Tribolium castaneum: one gene and its partner. Each later gene encodes a partner of the first gene's protein in a complex. Links are inferred from orthologs where the notes say so. Each region holds a gene or a part of one and is shown on either strand. Other genes may lie near its edges.

Region 1 (5,395 bases):
CCACTATTACATTCAAACAAGAATTTTAAAGTCAAGACGTCAGTAATACAGTTTGCTAATTTCTATTATATGAGTTTTATAAGAAATTCTACTGTGACACGAATAGTTTTGGAGCACGAGGAAGGAGTGTTAATAGTGTTAAGTCTTATAAAAGTTATAAAACAAGTGTATTATTTTTTCTACTTTTTCTATTTTTGTTGTTTCCTCTTAATTTTGTTAATTATTCGGGCTTTATCAGTAAACGACTTGATGCTGTTGACAGATCACACACTAGATTACAGTGATGACACCCAGCCCTCTTAAAAAAGTTCTTTTTAATATGAGTTAATACAAGCGAACTCCTTGGTGAATTTTAATTTTATTTTAATATTTGTGGTCAAGGTATGACCCTGTGGAGTTGGACCCCGAGGAGATGTGTCCTTTGGCGGCCTCCCAGCCGCAGGTCCTCTCAAACTACTCCGTTTCGGACGCCGTTGCGACCTACTATCTCTACATGCAGTACGTCCACCCTTTTATTTTCGCCCTTTGTACCATCATCCCTTGTGAGCCGGACGAGGTCTTGCGGAAAGGCTCCGGTGAGGCTTTCCCCAGCCCTTGGTCCCAACTTCGTCATTTGGCGGGTTTTAGGCACCCTTTGTGAGGCCCTTTTGATGGTGGAAGCCTTCCATTGCAATATCATTTTCCCCAATAAGGAGGAAACAGTCCTTAATAAGTTAACCGACGACGGTCATGTCCTACACCAGGAGACTTACGTCGGCGGCCACGTGGAGGCGCTCGAATCAGGGGTTTTCCGCGCCGATATTCCCTGCCGTTTTCGGCTAGAAACCGACGCCCTTAACAAACTAATCGAGCAAGTGCCCAAAACCCTCGCACACGCGATTGAAATCGAAGAGGGCGTGCCGTTGACCGACGTCACTAACCTTGAAGAAGTAACCAATGAGATTGTCGCAAAGCTGACAAGCCTGAAGGAACAACCAATGAGATTGGAGCGTCCGTTAATCTACCATTTGGACGTGGGGGCCATGTACCCGAACATTATCCTAACCAATCGGCTACAGCCGTGTGCCATCGTCGACGAGACAATTTGCGCCGCCTGCGATTATAATAAACTGGGCGCCAGGTGCCAGAGAAATATGGCCTGGATGTGGAGAGCGGAATACAGTGAGTTGGAGAAAAAATCGTTTATTCAACTCGTCAATTTTTTGTAGTGCCAGCGTCGCGAAATGAGTACCACCGCATCCAGCAACAACTCGAAACCGAGAAGTTCCCCCCGCAATATCCCGGGGGACCCCAGCGGGCGTTCCATCAACTCACCAAACAGGAACAAGCCGATTTGGAGAAGAAACGGCTCACTGTTTACTGTCGCAAGGTTTATAAGAAAGCTAAAGTCACCAAAATCGAAGAACGGACCACTACGATTTGCCAGAAAGAGAATTCGTTTTATGTCGACACAGTTCGGGCATTTCGGGATCGAAGGTATTTTAATTAAAGCCCTAAATAAAGTTCATAAATAAATGAAATAAATTTCAAATCCACAACAAAAAAATTCTGGCGAAAAAGTCATTAAATATTAATTGAATCATGTATTTTTAAACAAACTTTGAATTACTACAGTTCTTTTACTGTTTTGAATGTCATTGCTTTGATTTGGTTGGTGTAGGTATGAGTATAAAGGCTTGTCGAAAAAGGCAAAGCAGGCCGTGGCCGCGGCCATCAAAGGCGGCGACGCGTCCGAAATCAAGTCGGCCAAGAACAGGGAAGTGCTCTACGATTCGCTGCAATTGGCCCATAAGTGTATTTTGAATTCGTTTTATGGCTACGTGATGAGACGAGGGTTGGTGGTTTTTTCTTTGTTTGCATTTTTTCTAGTTGTTTTTTAGGGCGCGTTGGCACAGTATGGAAATGGCGGGGATTGTGTGTTACACGGGCGCCAACATTATAATGCGCGCTCGTGAAATAATCGAAAAGGTTGGCAGGCCTTTGGAACTTGACACTGACGGTATATGGTGTATTCTACCGGCTTCGTTTCCCGAAAATTTCGTCGTGCGTACCAACCACGAGAAAAAAAATAAAATTGTGGTTTCTTATCCTAATGCCGTGCTTAATGCCATGGTCAAGGAGCACTTCACCAACGATCAGTACCACGAACTGGTCGATGCGCAAAGTTTAAAGTACGAGGAACGGTCAGAAAACTCGATTTTTTTCGAAGTTGATGGGCCCTATAAAGCCATGGTACTGCCGGCGTCTAAGGAGGAGGGGAAAAAGTTGAAGAAGCGCTACGCTGTCTTTAATTTCGACGGTACTTTGGCCGAATTAAAAGGGTAGGGTCTAGGGATATCTAAAGGTTAGGATGTGAAACGACGTACGGATAAAACGTTCCGCCCTCCATACTTCCGATAATGTCGCCAGAGGGCGCAGTATAAGTTTTCAGAGAATTTGAAAAAATTATTGTGTCTAACGGTTAACACACAGCAAACAAAAAATACAGGTGGATAGAGCATTAAATTCTCAATAGTAAGACATTAACATAATGCAAAATATGTATAGTATACTATATTTAAAAAAAAAACTTTTACCAATTTGCACTCTGCGGTTACAGAAGCAAGAAAAATGTTTGAAAAAATACTTTTTTTTTGGTTCAGAAAATCGTGCGATTTTGTACATCGTTTCGTCTCCTAACTTGTAGTCCTCCGTAGTAATAAAATTGGCGAAAAAAATATTTTTTTATAGTTTTGAGGTAAAACGTCGCGGCGAACTCCAGTTGATCAAAAACTTCCAATCGTCGGTGTTTGAGGCGTTCCTCAAAGGCGACACTTTGGAGTCGTGTTACGCGGCCGTTGCCCAAATCGCCGATTATTGGTTAGATGTTTTGTTTTCGCACGGTCGTAACATGCCCGATTCTGAGCTGTTCGACTTAATTTCGGAAAACCGATCCATGTCGAAGAAACTCGAAGAATACGGCGGCCAGAAAAGTACTTCAATTAGTACCGCCAAACGTTTGGCCGAATTTTTGGGCGATCAGATGGTCAAGGATGCCGGTTTGGCTTGCAAGTATGTCATTTCGAAGAAACCAGATGGCGCTCCGGTTACAGAAAGGTGAAAAATCCCTCGTCCATCCAAAAATTTGGTCTACATTTGGACGCCTGTAGATAACAGTTGAACTTGCAGAGCTATTCCATTGGCGATTTTCCAATCGGAAGTCAGCGTCCAGCGGTACTACCTGCGCAAATGGCTCAAGGACAACTCAATAAACGAAGTCGACATTCGCGAAATCTTGGACTGGAACTACTACATTGAGCGCCTCGGTGGTGCCATCCAGAAAATCATCACAATCCCGGCGGCCATGCAAGGAGTGCCCAATCCGGTGCCACGTGTCCGCCACCCTGATTGGCTGCACAAAAAAATGCTCGAAAAAAACGACACTTTCAAGCAACGTCGAATCACCGACATGTTTGCCGCTTGTCCCAAACCGCAAACACTGCCCGACATTGAGGACTTTGGCGGTACTTCCAGCACCGACAAACGCCCCATTGTAACAACAATTAAACGAAAACGAGACTCCGATAAAGAATCAGGTCTACTGCCAGTGAGCGCAATTGTTTCCTAAATTATACTCTTCCGTAGAATCAGGTTTCACTGAAGAAGATCTGAGTAAGACGTGGCGTGAAGTTATGGGGAACCCGCCCCCTTACGGTACCACCAAGGAGGAACACTTGGCTTGGATAACGTTCCAGAAACGCAAGTGGCTGTTCCAGGCCATGCAGCGGGCCCAAGGCACCCGCAACAGGAAGAAGGCCAAGTCAAGTGCCTCAGTTTTGCGCAGCACCGTCACTGGTACTTTGAGCGGGTTCCTCCAAAAAGCCCAAAAAACCCTGCTGACGGTTCCTTGGCAAGTCATACAAGTGGCCCCAACGCCAGTCGCAGGCGAATACAAACTATGGGCCCTGATACTCAACGAACTCCACCAAATCAAGTTGGTAGTGCCGCGAATTTTCTACGCCAACTTGAAGGAATCAAAAGTGGTGGAAGAAGGCGCTCTGTTCAAGAAGTGTAACCGCACGTTGCCGCGTACGAGACAAGTGTACAACTTGTACATGTACAGTGTTCCCGAAGAAGTGTTCCAGGAACACGGCCGGAAATTGTACTTGGATCAGACGGATCCGAATGTTGAAGGCGTTTACGAGACGCAAGTGCCGCCGCTGTTTCGCACTTTTGTCCAGATTGGTTGCTTGTGTAAAGTGGTAGGACAGGTTTCAAGCTTGGAAAGCTTCCCATTGGACAATTTGGAGTTGTGTACGGCGCGAAACCAATATTTGGTCAAGGATTCGGTGAAAAGATTGTTCTTTTATAATCATCGGCACCCAACTAAACCGCAACAAATCTTCGGGTTGTTCTTGACTCCCTTGAAGAAGGCGCTGGTTGTGGTCGTTGATACGGTCAAGACCAACTTGATGCCGAATTTGAACAAGTTGTACCAAGCCGAACGAATGGCAAAGTGAGTACTGGATTTACAAAGTGGCTTATCAGCTCTTTCAAAACTATAAAAATATAAACTATAAAGATTGATAAAAACGCAAAATAGTCATTAATGATTAGTTCTCTCATTGAAACTTTAAACTAGATTTACTAAAAATTTCTAGGGTTAAAACAAAAAAAAACAATCTTCACATTTTTATTTTTATTTAATACACTATCGGACAAAAGTAAGGCAACATTTTGAAAAATATAGAAATTAATGTCTATCTAATGTAAATAAATTATGATCGGGCAAACTATGGTATTGTTAAAAGAATCAAAGGAAGCTACTGTCATTAATGTCAAGTAATTATTTATTAAGGTTGAAAAAAACCGCTTTGTTGACTTGTAGTGTAAAAAAGGATTATTTTAAGACGACAAAAGTAAGGCAACATTTAGATTTTTTTCAAAAAATGTTGTTATAATGAAAAATTTGTTAGGCCAATATTAACAGTTCGTCTTGCGCAACAAGAGCCATGCCAACGGGTACACCAATTGGTAAAGAGTTGAAAGAAAGAGTGATCGATGCTTTCTTAAACAATGAAAAACAAGCGGATATTGCAAGAAGATTTCAACTGCCTAGATACAGCGTGTCTAAAATAATTATTCGCTACAACGAAAGAGGACATTTAAACAATAATCCAAAATCGGGACGACCACGAAAAACCACTATAAACATGGACAGACGCATTAAAAGAATTTCGGAAAACGATCCATGGAAATCTGCATCTAAAATTATAGCGGAAATACCGGAAGTAGGAGTTAGTACACGAACAATTCAAAGAAGACTGGTTGCAGCAAAGCTTTTTAGTAGACGTCGTGCTAAAAAACCTTTGATTTCAGAAAGAAATAGACGCGCCAGACTTCAATTTGCAAGAAA
Region 2 (4,114 bases), on another chromosome or scaffold:
AAAACCATTGTGGTGCAAATGACTAACCTGTTACCATGACAACTTATGTAAATGTTAATGCCAAGAGTACGTTATTTGCACCACAATGGTTTTTATGAAAGTGAACCGAATATATATGTTAATTAGTAAAAGTCTGCATAAAAATAGATGTTATTTTGATTGCCATTGAAAACACAAGGTCATTCCATTTGAAAAAACTGTTTTATAATCATTTTTTAATCATCATTTTCAAAAAATCCTAGTATTCTTGCAATTTGACAGTTGACAATCCTGAATATTTTAGAAAATTCTTCATACCTTTGGCTATCAAATGCAAAAAGAATTATTTACTTATTGTAAAGGGTTTACAAGCTGTGATATTTTAAATGAACCCCTGAAAATAAAAATCTGTGTAAAAAATTTGACGTACGTCAAAAACTATGACAGATAAGTACTAACAACTACTCAGTAACATTTTACTCAGTTTCAAGTGGCGAAATGCAATAAAAATAGGTGGTTACTATTTAAAATTTCAAAGTTGGCGCCAATTTTTCGTAGTTCGTAGCTATTTTGAAAATAATTTAGTTGAACTCAGAATGGTCGATTTGGATTGTATACAAAATCTTAAAGCTCTAGCTATAAGAAGTTAAAAAGTTTCTAATTGTAGGTCCTAAAAGAATCAGCATGTTATATGGGATAATAAAAACGACATGGCAATATATCAATTAGCTAAAATGTTATGGACCGATTGGACACCCCTGGTTTACCCTGTATATGACTTTATTTGAAAACATATTTCACCGTTTTGTGAGATTTGTTCTAAATAAAGTGGAAACTTGTTAGAGTAAATCTGACGCAAATATGTTAATTCTATTACTCCTATTATTTTTCGAGAATTTTGCGAGTGTTCTTCAATTAGAAACTCACTAATCTAGAAATACATTGGCAAAAAAGAGAAAACATATGAACCTACGTCGAATATGTAAATTCAAATGATTTTTCCGAAGCTAATTGGAAAATCCTTAATTTAGTTAGGTTCTCTATTGTGAATTTAGAAACATTTTTCAGTGAAAATGAAAGGAATAATTTGCCGAAAAGACAAAAAACTTCCAAATTCGAAAAGAGATCTGCTATTTATTCTTTGTTTTTTTTTTAAACATAACTGCGAAGGCGCAAACACGAAAATAGGATAAGATTTACCAAAATTAACTGAAAATAATCTTAAAAGTATTTTATTCCAAGGCACCATCAAGGAAACAAAGACTAGGTATATTATCAATTGCGGCATCGACGTCTCGCTTCTGTACAGTTTTCCTTTTCCCCATCCCCATAAACTTGCCAGACTCTTTAGCAAGGTGCTCCAGAAACATCTCCTGAAATTTTAATTGAGTACCTAAGCTAACACTCAAATTTTTTTTGTTACCGTTGATTTGGTCACGAGAAATAGGGCATCTTGACTCACTAAATTACAGTCTGGGTCCATTTTCATAATGTGTTTAATTCTAGCTAGGGGTAGTTTCACTAATTTGGGTTTTTCGGGGGATGTTGTGGTTAATTCTACGAATTCTGGCGTTTCGGTAACGGGCTGCCTCTCAGTCTCAATCTCTTCTATATCCACTTCGTTGATATCTTCCATTTTATTTGTTAAAATTTTAAATAAATACCACTCAAGTTTCACAACATAACCTCAATCGCGCGCTATTCAAAGTCAGGTAAGGTGGTTACAAAACGAAATCCCCCAAATTATTTAAAAAAATTAGTAATAAAATACAATTTTGGCTTAGATTGTCTCACAGTTGTGTTATTTTTATGCGGTATATTGATAGGGATTGATAATTTTATTGATTAAGTTAATTTATTGCGGTTTGTATTCAATTTTGAATGATGTACCAAGTGGATTGGTATCCCTTCATTTGACAAAGTCTTAACCTCAAAATTATGGACGCTCTTACGTCAACGATCAAGTAAATAAAAGGTAATAACTTTGACCGCATCTATTTTAGTGTTTTGTTGGGTTTGTTGCAATAACTCTGCCCATAGATGGACGATGGTACCCCCAAGAGGGGCCGCGGCCGGGGTCGCGGTGGTCGAGGCAGAGGTCGGGGAAGAGGCCGAGGTCGCGGACGTGGTAAAAAGGCCATAAAAGTGATAGAAAGCGATGAAGAACTGGATAATTCCCAACTGCAAGAATCGTCCGAAGAGGCACAACAAACTGAAAGTGAATCTAACGAAAATGTGGCACCTAAAAGTAAATTTAATTGAATTAAAGTCAGCCTTGAATGACAATTGAATGTTATAGTTGATTTGGAAGCTGACATCTCCCAACTGGAAGCACCGACTTTTACAACAATTAACAGAGGGCCACCAGAACCAATGTTGCGGCTAGATTGGTCACATAAAGTGAATTTGATTGGCGAAAAAGTGCTCAATCCCATGATTCATTGCTGTGATAAGTGTTTGAAGCCGATTTTAATCTATGGACGAATGGTAAACTCTTTATTTTTAATACATTTTCTACTAAAATATCCGCAAAAATGTACTTAAACAAGGCTTGATCATTTTAAATCTAAAAACGGGGATTTATTAAATTTTAATCAAATTGCTCTGTAACTAGAAATTAGGTTGGCAACAGTGGCTACCAAAATCAAATCTCACATTTTTATCCACTTTACTCTGCGCCCTCTACTGAACGATTTTGAACCGCTTTTTTTGAAATTTGATTTTTGCACAAACTGCGATATTTTTCAAGATATAACTGATATAACTGATGCAAAATTTGGAATTTCAACTTCCTGCCACCTAAGTGGGCAACAGTATACAGGGTGTCCGTTTTTCCAGCTTTACCATGGGGATCTCAGTTATTATAAGAGATACGAGGTTGGTTAAATATGGGCAAAGTTGCGCATTTTTATGCTAAACAATTATCTGAAAGAAAATTAGATGTGTGGTTTTTAGTTTTTGAATTGAGAAAAATCAAAAATTTATAATTTTGGTTTTTATTTTATTAAGCGCAAACAAAAAAAACTTTGTTTAACAAACTAAATTTTGACTGTTCTATTAAATATGAGAGCAGAATTTTTATAACTTTGTGTTGTTTTGTTTTTCGAAGAATAAACTCCTAGTTTATCATGTCGTTTAGTTTTTAATAAGTAAGCTTGACGGATATGTAAAAGTGCTAGACCCAAATTCAATTAAACTTCTAAAATCTAGTTTGTTTAAAACCAAAATTGTTGGCGTTTTTTTCCAAAGCACTCTTTGCAAAAATGATTTTTTCTTCATTTTGATCAGTATACATGATTCATTTATATTATGTGATACATCGTTGTAACCGGAAATAAAAACACTTTTTAAAAATAGAAAAAGTGAATATGGCTTCCATAAGAAAAAAAAAGTTGAGTGTTGTTACTCTGACATCAAGAACGCCTTGAAAAATGGAATGACAGACTTAGATTTCTTGTAAAAAAATTTCTGAACAATGTTCTAGTTCTAGTTCTTTTGGTTTTCCCTTGAAAAATTAAAAACGGAAATTACAAATTTCCAATTATTTCCAATAATTCAAAAACTAAAAATGCCACATCAAATTTTCTTTCAGATAATTTTTCAACATAAAAATGCACATCTTTGCTTTAATTTAACCAACCTTGTGTCTCTTATTATAGTAACTGAGATCTCCATGGTTGAGCTCGAATAACGGACTCCCTGTATAAGCTGTTTCAAAACTAACTGTTTCAAAAAAACGCCAACGTCGCATTTCTCTCAAAATTAGCTGTTATATATTCATGCACATCAAAAAAATAATAGCTAATGTAATTAATACTTTCGATGAGAGATCTAATCATTAATAACTATTTTACAATTTTATCAGTCGTATTAAAAAAATATTCGGCAAAATGTGACGTTGGCATTTTAATAGTTTTGAAACAGCTAATAATTAATTATTGCCAACTTAATATCATAGTGACAGGTCACTTAGATTGGAAATTTATAAATGAGGTAGGTACTTTCATTACGAGCATAGCTAGTGCATTGACTATTGAGATCATTAGTTAAAAGATGACAAACTTAATAGTTACAATATTTTCTGCAATTTTTTTAAAACTATAATTTGTTGCAACAGGTTTAATATTTTTTACAA

The links. Proteins that work in one complex are often made in the same cells at the same time.
Region 2: PolE1 (region 1) and PolE4 share a complex: the UniProt entries of both Homo sapiens proteins name them as parts of the DNA polymerase epsilon complex. The link is inferred for Tribolium castaneum from reciprocal best matches to the Homo sapiens genes POLE and POLE4.

Annotation. Positions count from the first base shown.
Region 1 is NC_087396.1:21,698,766-21,704,160, reverse strand, and holds part of PolE1 (DNA polymerase epsilon catalytic subunit 1), read left to right. Parts: intron 1-381; coding exon 382-575; intron 576-627; coding exon 628-1,161; intron 1,162-1,208; coding exon 1,209-1,476; intron 1,477-1,660; coding exon 1,661-1,834; intron 1,835-1,880; coding exon 1,881-2,321; intron 2,322-2,730; coding exon 2,731-3,096; intron 3,097-3,168; coding exon 3,169-3,575; intron 3,576-3,624; coding exon 3,625-4,495; intron 4,496-5,395. UniProt on the Homo sapiens protein: Catalytic component of the DNA polymerase epsilon complex. Participates in chromosomal DNA replication.
Region 2 is NC_087395.1:5,460,762-5,464,875, reverse strand, and holds PolE4 (DNA polymerase epsilon subunit 4), read right to left. Parts: upstream 1,724-4,114; 5' UTR 1,616-1,723; coding exon 1,403-1,615; intron 1,353-1,402; coding exon 1,212-1,352; 3' UTR 1,196-1,211; downstream 1-1,195. Other genes in the region: E3 ubiquitin-protein ligase Hakai, read left to right, coding at 2,020-2,227, 2,279-2,466. UniProt on the Homo sapiens protein: Accessory component of the DNA polymerase epsilon complex. Participates in DNA repair and in chromosomal DNA replication.